Caenorhabditis elegans: one gene and its partner. The protein of the gene in region 1 purifies or fractionates together with the protein of each later gene. This does not show direct contact. Each region holds a gene or a part of one and is shown in the gene's direction. Other genes may lie near its edges. The genes, in order: fnta-1 and trp-1.

Region 1 (4,963 bases):
ATCCTCACTTAACATCCGCCTTTGTGATAAGATCCAACATTTTCTTGACATTCGAAATAACCCATTGTGACAGAATCGAGTTTGGTGGCAGAACTGGCCATGATTCCCATCTCGGATCAGCATTCGGCTGAAAAAAAAGTGAAATAAAATTGTTTTATTATTCTTGGCTATTGTTTTTTGCTCAAAATTTTTTCGATTTGATTCCCTTACATTTTTTCGAACAACTTCGTTTTCCGGAAACACTGCAAGATAAAGCACGAGAGTGTCGTACATACTGGTACGGTAGATCTCGATCGCCTGCACAATCATGTCAACATTTCCCTGAAAAAAACGAAATAAATTGTATTAAATATGTTGTGATTGGCATTTCTCACTGAAATATCTAAAATCTGTTTTTCCAGATAAATATCCCGGTGCTGAAGAACGGCGATTCTCAGCTGATTCGCTGTCAATGAGGGCATCTTTCGAACGTTATTCACAACTTTGATGGATTCTGCAAGATCCAGTGGCCCAGCGAATTTGTTGAAAAGTTCCTCCAAAAGATAAGCACGAGCTTCGACTAGGTGGTCCGCGACTTTCTAGAATTATTTTTTACGTTTTTAACAGGTTTTCCTGGGGATTTCAGACTTTTATCAGCGGATTCCGGTAGAGTTGAGTCTGTTGTTGAAGTTGCAAGCCATAATTGGTCAATGTGTAAGCCAGATCATAGTATCCTGCACGAATGCAAATGTCCATGCGCTAAAATGTTTTAAAATTACAAAGAAAAAAGAAAAGTAGATGTAGAATTACCGAGGGTAGCGTCAAAAGCTCCCAGATCGGATTTGACTTGTCCAGTGCTTTTCTGACAAGATCCTGCTCTTCAGAAAGCTGTTTAGCTTTTGCTCTAAACTCTACAAACGCAGAAGTCAACTCCTCTGCTTGATCCGACAGATTTACAGTTTTATCGCGCATTTCTCCGAACTGAAATTATTTAGGGTTTAGACTTTAAATAGATTTTTTCGTGAAATTACAGTTTTCGAGCAATCGTGAGTGGCTCTTCCAGCGTCTGCATATGTTCCATAATTATTGAATGCTAAATCACTAATCTGGGCGTCAATCGCCTTCAGCTCGCTGGCCAGCAGCACCTTTTGACGTCCTGAACGATTTTTCGATGAATTTTCACATTATTGCAGATTACTTACGCATTTCTTCAAGTCCCATATTGCGAATATCATCTCCATTATGAAATATATAATCAGAATCCATGATTTCCTACAGTAAAGGCAAATCGGCGATAAGAAAGAAATCGCGTTGGCTGCCCGTAAATCCACATGAGAGCCGGAGTGTTTGCGGAGAGTGCGCAGGAAATTACGACACTTTGCACCGTTTAACTTTAAATCCATTTTTTTTCTTTTCCGAGTTGTTCGAGCATTTAAGACGTTTTTTCCAGTTTCCAGCTCAATTTTTATTGAAAAATATTTAGAAAAAATTCAAAATTTAATGTTTTCCCCTTCAAAATCCAATATTAACGAAAAATAAGCTTGCAGGCGGAGAAAATGTCGGACAGCGATATTCCATCTTCAACTCTCTACAAAGATAACGTAGATTGGAAGGATATTACGCCGATCTACCCGAGTAAGGAGGAAGAAGTTGCTGTTAAGATCGCTGTTACGGAAGACTGTAAGAAATTTTGAGATCAAATTAATAATTATTCAAATTTTAATTTTGCAGTCACCGATGCTTTCGCCTACTTCCGTGCAATTCTAATAAAAAACGAGAAGTCGGATCGAGTGATGGCACTTCTCGAGGATTGCATTAGACTTAATCCAGCGAATTACACAGTTTGGCAGTATCGCCGCGTGTGTCTCACCGAGTTGGGATGGGATTTGAAGAAGGAGATGCGGTATCTCAGCGATATTATTCAAGAATCACCGAAAAACTATCAAGTCTGGCATCACCGTCGCTTCATCGTCGAAACGATTGGAGAAAGTGCGGTGAACGATGAGCTTCATTTTTGCTCGGAAGTCATCCGCGACGAGAACAAAAACTATCACGCGTGGCAGCACCGTCAATGGGTTGTACGGACTTTCAAGGTTCCACTGGAGAAAGAGCTCACATTTGCTCTTCACATGCTTCTTCTCGATAATCGCAACAATTCGGCGTATAATTATCGCTATTTTCTGATGACTCTCTACGATAAGACGGAGGATGCGAGCCAGCTTGACATTGAGATCAAGTAAGGAAATATAACAGCGATCAATTTTTTGTTCACGATTAGCGTTTTTAGTGGAGAAACATCTATCTGATGTAGAAAGCGATTCAGAAACTAAAAATCTCCGAAAATTCCAGAATATTCTTCTCAATTTCTGATTTTTAGTGATGAAAACTACCTAAAAATTGAAAACTGTCCAAATATTTGATTAATCAAACATGAAGATAACTTTGAAAGTAAAAATTTTTGGTTGAGGCTGAAGAGTTTGGGTGAGGCTAAGAGTTTGGTTGAGGCTAAGAGTTTGGTTGAGGCTAAGAATTTGGTTGAGGCTAAGCGTTTGGTTGAGGCTAAGAATTTGGTTGAGGCTGAAGAGTTTGGTTGAGGCTAACAAGGAAAGGAAGTCAATCTAGTATCGGACTTTAAATTGAGACGTATGTCATTTGAAAGCTTATGTTTAGACTAGATCACCACAAAAATTTCAGCGGCGGAACTCAACTCTGAACCCCTGAAATCGCCATCTGAAAATTTTTCTCTGCGCCCTCCTAGTTTTCAATACTATTTCGTACTTATTCATTTTACTTATACAAAAAATGATTTTCAATCATTATGAAATGGTTACAAACATGGAAAACAATAAAAAACAACGGTTGATGGCCGAATGGTAAACGCTTGGAATAATAAAATAAAGGTCTCGTGTTCGATTCTTTCAGTGGAAATAATTTTTTTCTTCAACTTTTAAAAACTGCAATCGGGCCCTTTGTAAAAAATTGTAAAAAATTGTAAAAAGGCTCAATTCGAAGAAATATGTAGCTTTTTGCATGCCCGGATACAAAAAAATAGTTTTGGAATTTTTTCAAAAAAAAAAATTTTTGACCAAAAATTTGGTGTCCAATGGATCGAAAAAATTTCAGATTTTTTTCAAAAAAATAAAAATTTCCAAAAAGCTCCCACATTGTTTGTTAGACCCTAAAAACCCCCAAAAACAATTTCTAATCTCTCAGAACCCCTTTTGAGGCCATTTACTTGATATAGAAGTCAGCGAAAAAATGCACTGGAGCATAGATAGATTGACTTCCTTTCCTTGTAAGAGTTTGGTTGAGGCTAAGAGTTTGTTTGAGGCTAAATAGTTGTTGCACATCTTCCATTAAACTTGAACACAAAACCTCTCAATTTTTCTAGCCTCGCCAAGAAGTTCATTGAGAATATTCCGAACAACGAAAGTGCCTGGAACTACCTCGCAGGGCTTCTCATCACAAATGGAGTAACCTCGAACAGTGATGTTGTCAGTTTTGTGGAGGATTTGTATGAGACAACTCCTGAAGAGAAACGGTCACCATTCCTTCTTGCATTTATCGCCGATATGATGCTCGAAAATATTGAAAACCAAAAGTCTGCGGAAGAAAGCGCTGGGCGCGCTAAAAAGGTTTGTAAGTCTAGAAAGTTCATGAGAAATGGGATAACATTGGAGAATTTTTAACTAAAAATTTCCTTTTTTTTAATTAAAAGTGCACATTTTCGCTTTAAATGAATTTGCGCTCTAAACGCCTCAAATTCCCGAAATTTCCAGCTCTACAAGGATCTTCAATCGATCGACCCGGTTCGAGTCAACTACTACCGCCATCAGAGTCTTCTTGCTCAAACGATGCTCATCAAGGCACAGACGAAGGTCACTGCCAAGTAATTCTTTCTGAATTCCACGTTTTTTTTGTATTTATATGTTTTTGTGTAAGTATATCCCAATGATTTCCCACAATTTGCCGTCCTACTTATTTATTTAAAAAATTTTTTTTTAAATTATTATTCAATGATGCTTTTTTTATAGTTTATTCTTAATTTTTATACCTTTTGTCACGTTTTTTAGTTGAAAGGCAAGAGAAAATGGAAATTTCCGAGGCACAGCGGCACTCCGATATCTTTCATGCGCCTTTAAGTTTGGAGTACTGTAGATTTTGAATTTTTTTTCTTGAATTATTGCAAATAATTGAAATATTTCGAAATCAACTGTTTATTCATCATTTCGGCTACCAGTTTTCTTTGTTTCTGAGAGAAATATTAAAAATTTATTCTTCTTTTCCAAATTTAAATTTCGATGATACAAGAACCCCTGACAGAATTTAATTTTTCTCGGGAAAAGCGTTGTTTATTCTTCAAAAAAAATCGATTCTAAATTTCTTAAAAATAAAATTATTAAGATGGAACAACGGGATATGAAAACCGTTTTTCTGCTGGATCGGAGCGCGAAATTCGTGGAAAACTGTAACGAAACGTTCGATGTCACAATTCGAGAAGGCCCAAAACAGAAGAAACTTCAATTCGAAAAAACCATTTGGACGTGGTGCCTTGAGGGAATCTTCGAAATGCACAGAATTCTGAGTGACGTCTATCCACGTGGCACTCTACAGCTTCGATTTGCCCTGGCGGACTTCATGGGAAAGATGTTGGATACGCAGTGGACGGACGGATTTTTGACTCGAGAAGAGCTCGGAGAACTCATTGAGACTGTGAGCCGCCCGAGTGAGGCTAATACTGATATTACACCAATTGGTGGATTGACTATGGCCATTGAAGCGTTGGCTGTGCAGTCGCCTGAACAGAGAAATTATAATTATGATGTACGATATAGTGCAAGTGAGTATTTCCTTTTGAAACATTAATTATTTTATCCAAAATCGTAATTATGATCATCTGGAAATCTTTAAAAAAAAGGTTTTACACTAGTTTTACACGAAATCTATGGTTTTCAAGCCTTTTTTACGTAGAAAAACTATCGAA
Region 2 (7,906 bases), on another chromosome or scaffold:
AAAAAGGGAGAAGAGGGTCCCCCGAAAAAAATTGGGGGCGGAGTCATGTTCGATATCACAAGTCTCTTTTTTTTTTCGTTTTGACAGGAAAACGAAGGCTCATCTCGTCAAATTCGGGGCGACATCTTCCTTTTCTTTTCCATCTGCTTCTTCTCCTTCTTTCTTCTGTTTTTCTTCTTTTCTCTTTTAGATCATTCTTCTTATTCAACCGCCGTGGTTCCTCTTTCTCCACTCTTCATCATCATCTTCACACTCACTGATTTTTTGAGCCATTCCCATCTACTCTTATCCACCCCCTTCGGGCATTTTTCACACACTTTCCTTCAGTCTTTCCACCTCTTTCCGTGTCTACTGGGTTAGAGAATTTCAAGCTTATGAACATCTTCTTCGAACAGTTTTAAATTGTGTGCCTGTTGTTTACTTGAATTTGTGTTCGGCTAATTCTTTTGAGTCGGGCTAAGTTCCTGTCTACCACCTATTTTTGCATTTACAATTAGAAGCAAACTCTGGAAATTGTTAATTTTTTTCTCGTGCTGTTTAAATGAAAAAAAAACGGATAGTTGATTTATTATTTTTTTCGAAGTTCAAGTAGGAGCATTTTCATTAGTTACACTGGAAATGCATTTTCAAGCTTAAAAGCAAAGTAATTATTATTGACAACTGTTTGATCAAAATTCATCCCATTCATCCCTCTATTTTGTAGAAAAAAGGTGAAAAATAGCTTGAGAAAAGGATCTCTGATTTATTGTAAACACCTTGTTGTCAAATCACAGACACTTTTTAAAAAAGAAAACATCTCAATTGACAACAGTTGTTTCAATGACCAAACTCCTCTTACTATCCAGACAAACAAATGTTCACAAAAAATACATTTTCCCTCCTGGTCATCCATAGCTCAAAGACCCCACCACGTGTCCCATGTTTTTGAACTTTCAGAAATGTCAGGTCCGTTGGGAAATCTTCCAAATATTTTCTCAGAGATTTGTAGACGTTCTTTCATTTGTTTGTCTTTCCGAGAAGCTGAAAACCTATTTGTATTATACATGTGTCTACTGCCTGAGCAATTTGATATTCGATATTCGCAATGACAAAAGAAGGGTAGGTAATTGGAGGCAACAGCTGATCCGTCTGTGGTTTATAGAAAAAATCTATCTGACATTTTTTGGAGTATCATCGGTGAGGTTTTTTATTGAAATACCCTCATAAAAGCCCATCATGATGAAATATTGAAGTTTTTAAATTTTTTAGTGGTTTCGAGACTTGCTTAAGGCCTACAAAGTTCATATATAAAAAGTAATATACAATGCCCCACCTAAGTTAAGGGATTAAATTGAGTTGGTATTTAAAAAATACAAAAGAGAAGCGCGGTGCGATCGACCTTTTTTGGCTGTAGTTTTAGTTTCTAAATAAAGGTTTTTTGTTCTGAAAAACCTTTCATATACAATTTTTTATTAGTATTATACTTGCAGTTTTCAAACTACCTATTACTGTCCTTCTCTATTTTGAATAATCCTAAAATTATTATTTCTCAACTCAGTCGTCCTCTCGTTTCTTCGTCGAAGTTTCCACATGTGTTTTCATTTTCCATTTAATTTCCCATGTCTCATCACTTCACAATCATCATCATCTGTTAGAAATTTGTCCTCACGGGATTTTGACACAACTATAAAAATTTCTTTCCTCTATCCTTTGACCGACTTTAAACATTTTTTTCGAAAAAAAATTGACGAAGAGGTTTTTGTTTAATTTCAATTTTTGTCTCTCAGATAAACTTGTAAATTTGTATAAGCTTTAAAAATGTTCAGCTTCTTCTATTCTTCTCACTAGGACTAGAAGAAGCTTCTATCAATTCGTGCCGACAACAACGAAGGGAATGATTGGAATGGAGGATGGCGTCCGGTGCGCATAACTTTTTAGAAGGAAATATAGACGAGACCCTCCACTTGAGTTAATAAGTTTTTCGAGTGCTCTATAACTTAAGAATCAGGGGGCTATGTTAAGCATTTGCGGGGGCTCTAGACTGAACTACGTAAGCGCGGGGTGTAATAGAGGGACCACAACAAAACGATTTTATCGGTTGTTTCTTTCCAATTTGCCCCAACAACTAGCCATCAAACGTTTAACAAGAAAGTTTGGCGGAAAAGCACAAACGATTCAATTTTATTAGGAGGAGCTTTTTTCCCTGCTTTCCACTCTATCAAAGTAGATTTTACTTCACTTTGCCAAAGTACAAACACACAAAAAAAAACTCTAGGGGCACCTTAAAGCAGGAAATGGAATAATTTTGTTTAAAATTGAAGGATGCTGTCGGCAGCAGGACGCCGATTCTCTCGATGTGCTCCATCGCCAAGGCCAAGGAGGAACTACGCTTTGGCGAATATCCCACCACCGGCTGCTGTTCACATTCGGACAAATGATATGATTAGTCCAGAAGAAAGAAGGTTTGTTGTTTTATAAAGTGTTGGGCACTTTTCCAGTAAAAACATTTCTCCGTACGTGTTTTCATCTTGAGCTTTTTCAGCATTTATATTAAAACTTACCATAGTTTAGCTATTGGTATTGCACCATAAGTAGTTTTGTTAGATATATTAATTGAACTAAAGACAATCTGCTACTCGTAGGGGCTTACCTTTAAGCTGCTCGAAACGACCTCAATATATTTATATATAATAAACAATAATAATGGGTTATTTTCGAGAAAAAGTCGTGTAAAAAGTTTAAAACACGCCCAATTATTACATGGTTACTACATATTGTCTAATAATCTGTTTAGGTTCCTCGAAGCTGCAGAACTTGGAAACAAGCCCACATTACAAGAATGCTTGGATTACGTGAGTTATTTCAAATCATTGTTTTTTTGAAATTAAAATTATTGAAGGACGGAGACCGCCGTCTCAACGTGAATTGCCTCGATTCAATGGGAAGAACAGCTTTGGAAATTGCAGTTGACAACGAAAATATGGAAGTTGTTGAACTTTTGCTCCAACAACCAGATATCAGAATTGGCAATGCACTGCTATGTGCAATCCGAGAAGGTCCGTAAACCACAGCATTTTTAAAAAATATTTTTTATAATTATTCCAGGTGTATATCGTCTTGTCGAAGTTCTTGTAAATCATCCGAATATTACTCGAGAAATGCTTGGAGACGGTTGGAGTCAAGCTCTTGATCCTTCCGAAGCTGCTAGTGCCGAATATTCAAGTGATATTTCTCCGGTTATATTGGCAGCACAACTCAACCAATTTGAGATTTTGCAAATGTTAATTCGAAAAGATGCAAGTATTGAAAAACCGCACAGGTATTTTTTAAAATACAAACAAATTTGGGGTCGAAATACCAATCCTAACATTTCAGACATTCCTGCATTTGCGAAACATGCGATCGTGAGCGTTTGAACGACTCATTACAGTACTCTCTAAAACGAATCAACACATTTCGAGCTCTTGCAAGCCCTGCATGGATGTCTCTTACAAGTCCCGATCCAATTCTATCCGCTTTCAAACTTTCATGGGATCTACAACGATTGGCATTTGAGGAGCATGAATTCAAAGAGACATATTTGCAACTTTCGGAGCAATGTAAACAATATTCATGTGATTTATTAAGTCAATGTCGAAGTTCTGAAGAAGTTATCGCAATTTTAAATAAGGATGGAAATGTGAATGATGATAATATTGATGTTTGGGCAAGTAAACTATCGCTTTCAAGGTTAAAACTGGCTATCAAATATGAACAAAAAGCTGTGAGTTATTTTTTTTGAAATTGTGCAACAAATAATTTATTATTTCAGCTCAACTAAATTCCCTGAACACATATTATTAAACTTAATCAAACTTATCAATTTTCAGTTTGTCTCTCATCCTCATTGTCAACAGTTGCTCACCTCTATCTGGTATGAAGGTATTCCATATCGGCAGCGGAGTGGTACCTGGGCTAATTTTTTCCTCTACGCTTTTCTACTTTTTCTCTGGCCAATATTCTGTCTCATGTATATTCTAGTGAGTATTTGAAAAATTTTCAATTTTGACAAAGATAATTTCAGATGCCAAAAAGCCGATTGGGTCGGTTAGTACGGTCTCCATTCATGAAATTCTTTTACTACTCGGTGTCGTTTGCAACGTTTTTAGGACTTTTAACGTGGGCCACTTTTGAAGATTATCGATACGAAAAAGGAGAAAGGGTTAGTTTTAAGAAATTTGGAACATTTCTGAAGTTGAAATTATTAACTCAAAAAAATTCTATATAGGAAATCATATTTCCAGGGTGGAATGACAAGAGCATCTGACCGTGGTCCACCAGCAACATGGGTTGAATCACTCGTATTCACATGGGTAATTGGAATGTTATGGTCAGAAATTAAGCAATTATGGGAAGAAGGTTTTAAACGATATATGAGACAATGGTGGAATTGGCTTGATTTCCTGATGATTTGCCTTTATTTATGCACCATTTCAATAAGGTATAATATATCAGAACTATACAAAATATAAAATTGATTTTCAGACTAAGCGCGTATTATATCTTTACATATCGTGAGGATCCATATCGGTACACAGTCCGCACATATTGGACATCTGAAGAACCAATGTTGGTAGCGGAGGCGTTGTTCGCTGTTGGAAATGTTTTTTCGTTTGCTCGAATTATTTACTTGTTCCAGACAAATCCGTATTTGGGGCCACTGCAGGTAAATAAATTTTGCATATAGCAATAAATAATTGACTTTGTGCAGAAGGGATAGTGTTGGGCAATACTCGGTTTAGACCGAGCCCCCAGCCAGCAAAGTTAAAAAGGTCAAATTTGGCCAGTTGGAGCAAACTGAAATAAAACTTGGACTCAGCCTAAACACAGTCTTGCACAAATTTTTCCACCTTTCAAGCCAAGTTATTTTGTGTTAAAACAAAAATGAGCCTCACTTTCAATTAAAAGACAATTTTCAGATATCCCTTGGATGTATGTTGGTGGACGTTGCAAAGTTCTGCTTCATCTTCGTCCTAATAATAAGTTCTTTCTCAATTGGCCTTGCTCAACTCTACTGGTACTATGATCCAAATACAGATGTATGCCTACCTGGTGCCACATGCAAACACAGTTCCAATGTATTCTCCTCGATTGCCGATTCCTATTTGACACTTCTCTGGTCTCTATTTTCGATTACAAAACCAGAAGATACCGATGTTGTGGAAAATCACAAAATAACTCAATGGGTTGGACAAGGAATGTTTATTATGTATCATTGTACTTCAATAATTGTCTTACTTAACATGCTCATTGCTATGATGTCTCATTCGTTTCAAATTATCAATGATCATGCGGATCTTGAATGGAAGTTTCATCGAACGAAGCTTTGGATGGCTCACTTCGATGAAGGATCAAGTCTTCCACCTCCATTTAATATTATAGTCACTCCGAAGTCATTAATATATGTGATGAATTGTCTATTCAACACTGTCAGATGGCTTCTAGGAAAGTACACTTATCAGAAAAACAGGAATCGGGCAACTATCAGGGTAAGATTTTCGAATTTTGAAAATGAAAACTGCCTCCACAACAAATTCGATGCAAAATTAATAGAAGCTGTGAAACCGAGGAAATACGGTCAATAATCTTCAAAGACGTTTACCAGAACTACCAAGAAAATATAAAGCATTCATCTTTACTTATTTTTCCCTTATTCCAGCGTCCTGGCTATTCTCGAAAAAGAAATGAAATGGAAAAATCTGGTGGTCACGACGATGATTCTTTGAAACCATTGACATATGCTGATATAATTACAAGACTTGTGGCAAGATTTATACATCAAACAAAGAAAGATATGAAAATGGACGGAGTTAATGAAGATGATCTACATGAAATCAAACAAGACATTAGTAGTTTGAGGTGAGCCATTTTAAAATTTTTATATGAAAAATTTCAAGATCCTACAATATCTTCGTTTCATCCAAATAGCAGTTGAAAATCTGCCAAGCAGCCTCTAATAAATGCCGAGTGTACAGACTCCGCCCCTTTTTCGCGTTTTTTCGCGTTTTTTTTGGCTTGCGAAAAAATGTCACACTACGTTTTCATTCACAACTCCTGAACCGTGTGACTTCATGCTCTAATATTTGAAATCCTACTAGAAATATTTTGCCCCACGGTGGAGCAGAAAACGGCACTAAGTTCGGAGCAAAATTGAGCCCAGGGCGGCTTTCCCCAGTTTGAAAAAATTTTTTGTTGCTCTTTTTACCCCCAAAAAAGCATGTTTTAATTGAATTAAAATTCGGGTTTTGCTCGGTTTTGTTTCAAATTTATGTGCAAGATACTACTCAGAGAGACTGATTTTTTGAAAAAAAGTTTGAGTTTATAAGTGCAAAAGGAAAAAAGTTGTGATAAAACAAAAGGCCAAAAAATGACATTTTGCCAAAAAAAAATTTTTTTCCGAAAAAGTAGTTTTTCGTCTTTATCTCAAGTTCTACTTCATCTTTTTCGATACTTTTTTTTCTACCCCACGTAAAAAAGTACGCTGAACACGATTTTCAACTCAGAATTAAGAAAAGTTTTATGAGTCGGCCGAGCAAGACGAATAAGTGCCACATTTTGCACACTTTCCCATTTTCGCGAATCTACTTTTTCAATCATAACTCGGTCAGTTTTCAAGTTTTCTTAGTTTTCCAAAAATTGACGTGTAGGTCTCATCAAGACGCATCGAGACATATAAAATGTGTAAAAAGTTCAGTGGGAAAGTTTTTCAAGAAAACAATAATTCAAAAATTTAGTATTGGGGGGAGTGGTTTCCTGGGTCTCCTGAACATTTTTTCCACTAAAGTTTTGCGGAATGTATTTTTGATTCATAGTTTTTGATTTTATTTAATGGAAGATGAAGTTTCGTCGCATTAGAAATACTCTGCCAAGAGATATTATTTTTATTAATTTTCAGGCCAAAACTTGTTTTTTTCTACAAATCGACCGGTTTACGAGGTATAGCCCTCAACTGTACGTCTCCTTTTTGGGAAATCAATAATGAGTACAATCCTGTAATAAAATTTTCAAAAATTCGTTTTCCCGCTGACATATCAGTAATAAACGGTTTTCGAACGTCTTCCCCAAATAGTAATAATTGAAGAAAGCGGAATCGAAAGACGACTTCCTCCAGAAAATTTTCTTCCCTACATCCCAGTTTGAGGTGTCTCCTGCATGGTCGAGTGGTTAGTGCGAATGACTGCAGAAATTTTGGTAGTTGGTTCAATTCTACCAAGTGATAAATTTTTTTGTTTTTTTGTGAGTAATCGGGATTCGAATAGAAATACTCGATTTCATACAAAATATGGGTACGTCTCCCCTAATATAAAGCCTCCTCAAACTTCAATCAATCAAAACTCAGCTTTAACTGATTCATCGGGTGCATCTGTTTTTGGTCAAACCGAACTCAAAAATCAATAAGACTCCCACCTACTGAAATTTTCACGAACCCTCTAACAGGTTCGAGGCGAAGCCGAGAGCCTACGCCCGGCAAGGGGACTCGCCTTACACCCCCTACAACCGGCGGGCCCGCAGGGCCCGCTAGTCTGAAAATCTAGAAATACAGAAAAGTTTTGGTTTTTAGGTAAAAACGATTCTGTATTTTTAGATTATCAGATTAAATATCCAGCTTTTTCCTGCTCAAAAAATTATCATAATTTAATTAATACGTTAAAGATACGAACTCCGAGATGATCGTCGTCGTGAAATCGTTCGCAGCTCATCACATATTGATGCAGTGAAACGAGATATTATGCGTACAATGAGTACAACATCACGTCGACCTTACGGTGGAAGTATGCGTCTTCCAAAGACACGACCATCAGTTGCAGAAGAATCAGAAGAAGATGATAAAAGTGATGAAACAAGTTCAACAGACGAGGAGGCTGATGAGACGAGGTTTTTCCTAAAG

Evidence for each region.
Region 2: the proteins of fnta-1 (region 1) and trp-1 fractionate together in Caenorhabditis elegans (co-fractionation; one large-scale study listed by BioGRID). This does not show direct contact.

Annotation. Positions count from the first base shown.
Region 1 is NC_003282.8:236,871-241,833, reverse strand, and holds fnta-1 (Protein farnesyltransferase/geranylgeranyltransferase type-1 subunit alpha), read left to right. Parts: upstream 1-1,526; 5' UTR 1,527-1,535; coding exon 1,536-1,659; intron 1,660-1,710; coding exon 1,711-2,215; intron 2,216-3,370; coding exon 3,371-3,614; intron 3,615-3,758; coding exon 3,759-3,872; 3' UTR 3,873-4,243; downstream 4,244-4,963. Other genes in the region: cogc-8 (Conserved oligomeric Golgi complex subunit 8), read right to left, coding at 9-127, 211-321, 375-578, 628-738, 790-960, 1,011-1,135, 1,182-1,245; ints-13 (Protein asunder), read left to right, coding at 4,384-4,819.
Region 2 is NC_003281.10:8,534,047-8,541,952, forward strand, and holds the start of trp-1 (Transient receptor ion channel domain-containing protein), read left to right. Parts: upstream 1-1,873; coding exon 1,874-1,899; intron 1,900-2,300; coding exon 2,301-2,441; intron 2,442-2,773; coding exon 2,774-2,831; intron 2,832-2,878; coding exon 2,879-3,035; intron 3,036-3,084; coding exon 3,085-3,298; intron 3,299-3,354; coding exon 3,355-3,742; intron 3,743-3,848; coding exon 3,849-3,998; intron 3,999-4,042; coding exon 4,043-4,180; intron 4,181-4,262; coding exon 4,263-4,459; intron 4,460-4,503; coding exon 4,504-4,684; intron 4,685-4,937; coding exon 4,938-5,507; intron 5,508-5,677; coding exon 5,678-5,877; intron 5,878-7,671; coding exon 7,672-7,893; intron 7,894-7,906. UniProt on the Caenorhabditis elegans protein: Could mediate calcium entry and form a calcium permeant channel.